Linked DNA regions of Bombyx mori. The protein of the gene in region 1 binds, or shares a complex with, the protein of each later gene. Links are inferred from orthologs where the notes say so. Each region holds a gene or a part of one and is shown in the gene's direction. Other genes may lie near its edges.

Evidence for each region. Proteins that work in one complex are often made in the same cells at the same time.
Region 2: the proteins of protein preli-like (region 1) and TP53-regulated inhibitor of apoptosis 1 are in contact, whole or in part, in a crystal structure (PDB 6I3V), measured with the Homo sapiens proteins. The link is inferred for Bombyx mori from reciprocal best matches to the Homo sapiens genes PRELID1 and TRIAP1. Residues at the interface, in NP_037369.1 of Homo sapiens: Trp15, Asp16, Phe19, Ala20, Trp23, Gln24, Tyr26, Pro27, Val34, Leu35, Thr36, Glu37, Asp38, Ile39, Val40, His41, Arg42, Val44, Gln48, Lys49, Leu50, Leu51, Ser52, Arg53, Leu55, Thr57, Tyr79, Leu81, Asp83, Ser84; in NP_057483.1 of Homo sapiens: Met1, Asn2, Ser3, Val4, Lys12, Tyr15, Asp16, Phe19, Asn20, Trp22, Phe23, Phe27, Leu28, Gly30, Asp31, Ser32, Phe41, Tyr44, Gln45, Val48, Gln49, Ile52, Ile57, Pro58, Ile59, Leu62, Glu63, Phe64, Met65, Gly66.

What each region holds. Positions count from the first base shown.
Region 1 is NC_085131.1:12,968,452-12,972,649, forward strand, and holds the start of protein preli-like, read left to right. Parts: upstream 1-1,398; 5' UTR 1,399-1,652; exon of another isoform or gene 1,653-1,870; intron 1,871-2,025; 5' UTR 2,026-2,115; coding exon 2,116-2,207; intron 2,208-3,019; coding exon 3,020-3,127; intron 3,128-4,198. UniProt on the Homo sapiens protein: Involved in the modulation of the mitochondrial apoptotic pathway by ensuring the accumulation of cardiolipin (CL) in mitochondrial membranes.
Region 2 is NC_085114.1:6,725,069-6,727,904, reverse strand, and holds TP53-regulated inhibitor of apoptosis 1, read left to right. Parts: upstream 1-1,453; 5' UTR 1,454-1,659; coding exon 1,660-1,806; intron 1,807-2,028; coding exon 2,029-2,130; 3' UTR 2,131-2,336; downstream 2,337-2,836. UniProt on the Homo sapiens protein: Involved in the modulation of the mitochondrial apoptotic pathway by ensuring the accumulation of cardiolipin (CL) in mitochondrial membranes.

The sequences.
Region 1 (4,198 bases):
TTCTAGAGTTCCAATGAATGATATTAAACTGACCAACAGAATTATGCATATAAGATTGAGTAGAACTATCCATAATTTATGATGTAAAATTCGTTACTAGCATTTCTTTAATTAATTGAGTAGATATAGGTCCAGAAGGGGATTTAGAATCCTTTTTCTTTAACAATTCTATTAAAGTTTTTGTAATGGTTCTGATGACAATTTCTGAATTTATAATGTCTGAAATTAAAGCCCTACCTTGAGGGGTCTTCGCAGATATAGGTATGTCAGAAGAGGTCACGGGGTTCTTAATAACAGGAGTCTTTAGTATGGCTGCATATGATGTTTGCTTGCCGATGATCTTATTTTTAACTTCAGCAACCTTGGCTGCCTTTACTGAGCAAGAGTAAGAAACTGCAGAATGTGGTCCACTGCAGTTGGAGCACTTGAAGATGTTGGGAGTGCTGCACTCCTTATAAAAATGATTGCCTGAACAAATAGAGCAAACTTGAGTGGCTTTACAGGCACCACTTCCATGTCCGAATTTGTAGCATTTGAAGCACTGTAACACAGGTCTAATATAATCCGAAACAGGCATCCAAATATGCTCGTATGTGACGTGATCAGGATGGCTAGACGCCAAAAATGTAACCAGCACAGTTTGCAGTGGCTTGTCACTTCCATTCTCTTGTTTTTTGAAAAATCTTTTTACTCCGAGTATTGTGCATGAAGCTTTTAAATTTACTAAAAGAGATTCTTCATCTAATTCCACAGGAGCTCGAATAATTCCTTGACTCTCAATGCTATCGTAAGGTATTTTTGCTGTCCAATTGTTTAACTCCATAAAGCTTACATCTAATAAAAAAGCGTTGGCATCCCGAGCACAGCCAAAGTAAACTTTAGCAAAAAGTTTCCAGCAGCTTTGACATACTGTACCCCTTGAACATTTTTTAAAGATTTGTTTATTCTTAACAGATCCATTGGGACTCTGTTATTTGGTTGCGAGAGGCTTGACTGAAGAAGCACTGGGTATTCTTTTTTTGTAAGGTCTTCATAAAGAGCATGGTGGTCTTTAAAAAGACCGCGCTTATTTTTAATGAAAGTCATTTTTATTTTGCGGCTTTCGTCGTATTCAGATGAGGTCAATCTTCGTTTTCCCATTATTTTGGGAGCGGACACAGGGGCGGAGCTGAAGCCCTCACCCCTGTCGTCATCGTCCATTAATACGGAACACACTTATGGAATATAATTTTAAACTCTAACACAGTGAAAAATTAAGAGACAATGTCGTAAAAAAGGGCTAAAACCAAATAAATTAAAATTAACTTGAAAAAAGCGCCTATTTATTTTGACGTTCCCGCCCTTTTTCCTTTGAGTGTAGATCATAAGCAACAGACTCTCAAATATTCTCTATGCTATTTATTATCAGCCACAGATTATACAATAATATGTAAGCAAACATTTAGTGTATAATCTATGTAAGCAAACACCAATGGACTCTCGAATTATCTGTCAGTAATCAGAATTTTATCGAAAACACCTGAAAATATGAATGATAACACGTGCTCTAACACTATGTTGCACTTTGCTCTTTATATATAGACGTTGAAGTTCGCGAAGGTGATTTCACGTTACACCCGGATTAAATTTCGAAGGAAAAAACCGGCATTCAGGTGCGTTTCTAAGTAACTTCATATATTACTTAGCAAAGTATGTTAAAAACACACTATTTACTAATAGTATCCATGCTAGGACTTCAGACAGACAGACATCTTAGTTATCGGTTTATGTAATTATTTGTGAGTTCAAATATTATTAGTGCAAAAGATTTTTTTCGAATATTTGTTTTTGAGCGGTATTGGTGTTTACATCTGTGCAACCCATCGATAATGTACGTGACAATCATCACAAAGCCTTAGCGGCCAGGGTCAGGCGCCGATCACCGAACACTTCGTATTTTAACTATTGACCTAGTTTTGATTTATGTAATACGATACTTGACAAAGTTTACGAATAACACATTGTAATTTATCATTTATTCTATAGATGTATTGAAAAGATAAGACGTTTTCCTTCTGTTTTGGAATGAAGACCAAATATAATTGAAGTAAAAAGCATTGAAGTCTAAACAGTAAAATGACGAGATATTTCGAAAATACTTCGGTCTTTAACTTCAGTTGGGATCAAGTTGCGCGTGGTTACTGGAGGAGATACCCAAATCCGCAGAGGTTAGTTAAAATGTGTTTAGCAAATATTTTTTAAAGTTTTTTTTTAAATGTTTCATTATGAAAAAAGACAAAGGTGCATCAAGGAAGTTAAAACCGGTATTGTTGTTACTCTGACAAATACCGGTCAGTATTTTTTTTTTAGAACATACTACAGATAGACAAAAGTTCTTTAAATATCATTTGAATGTCAGATATAATTATTGTATGATTTTGAATGCTTTATGTGATTGATTCTTTAGAAGAAAAATTCAATTAAAACTTCCTTTTTTATTTCTTTATTGTTATTTCTTTTCCAATTCTATGTAATTGTCAATTGTTATTGTAATAAATTGATTATTAAATTCAATAAAATTTCAGTATAGTCACTATAAATAAAATTGTTTGTTATTATTTGAAAGAAGATTCTTCAAGCTAGTTTTTAGTGTTAGTAGATATTACTTAAAGAATGCATGCACGGTTGGATAACATCACTATAGGAGTAGTCATGCCACAAACCATGCCTGTATTCTTTTCAATGATGGAATAGTTAGAAATTATTACATTACTGAGAATTCCACCTTATGTTTTGGTTTATGGTAGAACAGCTCACTATGTGGTGTCTATGAGATCCACACTTAACAGCACTTGAGCTTAAATAAGCTGCTAATATAGTAAATCACAATTTACTTAAATGAACTTAACTACTTCATAAAAGCCTATAAAAATATAGTTTATTGTCATGCTCTTTAACAATGTTCTTTTTGACATTCCGAAACAAAATATTATGTATTATGCCTGTAAATTGTATGAACTTAATTTAATGTTTCACCCAGTACTCACGTCCTATCTGAAGATACATGGAGCCGACAAGTTCGCGACGGTTGTCTTTATACAAAGCGGCTCCTGACTAAAACCAACAGAGTTCCAAAATGGGGTGAAAGGTGAGTAGTAATAATATCTGAAGTATTACAAACCAACCAATTCCAACTTTTAAGGCTAAAAAGCTGTCTGTAGTTAATTCAAAATTATGAAGAAATTGCCTTATAGTTATTAAAATTGGTTTTAATTCTTTGCCAATAAACTTCCAAAAATCAAATGACAAATTTTTTATTTTAAAAATACAGAAAGAATGAGTGGCTCATTTTAGTATTTAGCCAATCCATACCATCCTGTATATTAATTATACAAAAATTTCCAACCGGAGATAAACAGAAAAGTTTAAACTTGCCAAATATCTAACATGGGAAAACTCTGTCGAAGAAAGATCTGGTGTTAAGTGATTCAAGTGTGCTGGCTATCAAACCTTTGGCAGACACAAATATTTCTCTGTATATTTGAAATATATTTTTATGACCGACTCACATGATCTAGTAACATTGTTTATAAAAATCAAACCTGCAAAATTGACTAATTTTCATGACTATGACTTATTATTGCCTTATAAAATGTGTTTCTACTACTGGGATATGAGTATATCCGAAATGTGATTGTTAAATCACTTTAAGAAGAAGTTGTTCAATCATGACTTAGATAGAATTGAGTAAATTAGTAATCAAATGCTATAATTTTTTACATTGTATGTAAAAAAACTATTTATTATATTAAGTGAATATTTTGTAAAAAAAATACCATACATAAGTGTTATTTTTCTGCATTATTCTATCTTTCATTTTGTGTACTTGAAATATGCCATAGATTTAAAGACGCACACGGGCAAGCATGTAATGTTTTGTTTATTTAGTAACAAAATAAATTACACTTTGTCAAATAATGTGAATTCTGAGTTAACCTGTAGTCTCCAGGTGGAAAATGCCATCACATTCTGATGTCATTGCTCTCTTAACATTAGATGAACGGTCAAATCGTTAATTTCTCTATGCAAACAATACATTAAAAATATCGTTTTATCATAACCATTAATATATGAAACTCGTTAATTGTTCATTCTGAGTCATGCAAATGTACCACGACGAATGTTGTAAACAGCCTTTCAAGGTTGTACCGCGTACCTC
Region 2 (2,836 bases), on another chromosome or scaffold:
TTAATTAAACAAATGATCACCCTTAAGTTTGCCTCTTTTACTAGATATCTTTATTTTTACCGCTCAGATTAATTAATGTTGATCAATTAGCGTTTGTTCGATGACTATCGGTGATTGTTCGATCATAAAAACAATTAAATTCCCAATTATTAATCATTTTATATCTAATAAGCAGACGAATCAGAGAATTGTATTGCTAAGTAACACAAGATTTTTACATTCGAACACTAATGAACAAATGTCGAACAAATAATTATTAATAAAAAAAATCCGAAAAACAAAAAAAGAGGGGCCAAATTCACTGAGCCCATATCAAATCAAATCAAATCAAATCAAAAAATTTTTATTCAACATAAATGAAAGTACATACTTGTTGAACGTCAAAAGAACTACCGCCAATTCACAAGAACTAGCCTCCGTCCTGAGCAGAATTGGCAAGAAACTCAGCGGGCATGTCTTTTTTTATTTTTTTTTATTAGATTATTATTTTTTAAATATGAATTTTTTACAATGAGTATTATAACGTAACAATTACTACGATATTGAAATGCCCGGAGCGAGCAACTCATTCCCACTTTGTGCAATCTTCTAGATAATCATTGACTTTATAGTAAGCTTTATTGCACAGATGTTCTTTAATAGTTTTCTTAAACCTATGTATGTGTAGGTTCTGAACATCTTGTGGGATTTTGTTGTACAGGCGCACAGACAAACACCCGAATGAGTTTCGTATCTTATGTAACCTACTCATCGGCACAACAAGCTTGTGTTTGTTCCTAGTATTTCTATTATGTATGTCAGACTTTTTAGGAAACTCCTCAATATGTTTACGAACATACATCAAATTTTCAAAAATGTACTGGGATGGCATAGTGAGAACTTTAATTTCTTTAAATTTCTCCCTCAGGGATTCCCTTGAGTGCATGTTATAAATAGCACGTATAGCTCTTTTCTGCAGAATAAATATCATTTCTACATCGGCCGCATTGCCCCATAGCAAAATGCCATAGGACATGACACTGGAAGTAACTAAAGTAAACTAAACGAGCCGTGTCCGCGTTTGTTAACATTCTAATTTTTTTACTGCGTATGCTGCAGAGCTGAGCTTACTCGCCAATTTATGAATATGAGGTCCCCATTGCAGTTTGGAGTCCACTGTTATACCAAGAAATACGGTTGACTCAACAAGCTCCAATGATTCCTCAGAAACAATTACATCACTATCCACTTGTCTCACATTTAAAGATGGTTTAATACCATAAACACGCATACAAAAATTATTAAGATTGCGCTAAAAAATAACGGCACTAGAATTTTTTAATTCTGATGTATCTCCACAGATACAAAGTCAAGAAAAGGGCTAGAATATAAATTAAAATAGAACATGACTTAAGGGTCTTAGTTACCAGGTCATAAAATCCCTTAAAAAAATACAATTTATAGATAATGCATAGAACACTTCCCTTCGCTAAAATAGAGTTCTGTGACACTTCCAATGTGCCCGTCTGATCATAAATTGTACACATTATTTGATTTTGGTGTCCACTACCAAATCTGAAAGAAACATCGATTGTAAACGAAATTAATTGGGGATAACGTTTTAATTTTAAACTTTGCGGCAGAATTTACTTAATTGATCTCCAAAAGATTTAATAAAAAATGAACAGCATTGGCGAAGAATGTACAGACCTAAAGAAAAAATACGATGATTGTTTCAATACTTGGTTCTCGGAAAGGTTCTTAAAAGGCGATCAAGATGATTCTGTTTGCGCTGGAATATTTAAAATTTATCAAGAATGTGTTAAGGTACACATTTTGTTTATCTTATCTTCAAAGAAAAAAAATTAACGTTAGAGTTTCAAGTGAAAGATTGATAATTCAGAACATAATTCTTCTGAACCTAACAAGGTTCATATAGTTCATTCCAAATTAAATCATAATTCAAACATAATAATCCAATATTTATTGAATCTATGAAATATGAAACTGCACTCATATATCTATGCTAATAGTGTACATTAATTTCAGAATGCAATGAAACAGCAAAGCATTGATTTCAAAGAAATAGATAAGGATATCTTAGGCACTGAAAATGAATACAAAACACCACCAAATGCAAATAGTAGCTGACAACCCAAATTGGTCTGTGTCTTTAAACCCACAGCCTGTTGCAATATCCTTGGCAAGTTTCTTAAGATTCCATGCAGTTACCAAGATTTCAGTGATAATAGGCTTACAGTGAAAGAGGAAAATGAATGTGTTAAAACTTATGAAGTTTCTTGTGTGAATGATGAAAATTAGTGAATAGAAATAAATGTATAATCGATGGATTAAAACTTTTAAGTCTAATTTTTTTAATACCACTGATGAAATAGTTCAATATTTACTCCATTCGACATATTATATACTATGCAGTGTACAAAAAAAAACAAGTTTCAGTTGCTGAGTGAAATACACAATTTTGTTAGGATGCATTAGTAAACCCCTGACTGTTGAACCAAGGGTTGTGGGTTCAATTCTCATATCAGGAAAACATTCGTGTGATGAACAGGTTCGTTTCTTTGTCTGGGTGTCTATTATCTATGTATGCAAATATTCAAATGTATTTAAGGTTACATGTTAAGTCGACCGATTTCCGTTAAGGGCATGTAGTTTATATAGTTTCTGATTGATTTGACTATGAAACACATCCTAAATCTAACCGATTTAAAGATATTTGCATTTAATTGTTTTTTATAAAAATACCTGATTTTTGACTATCAGCTTAGATATTTTCAAATGCGTAAATCTTATTATTATTATTATTACATTTTTACTTTGTAAAATAAGATTATGT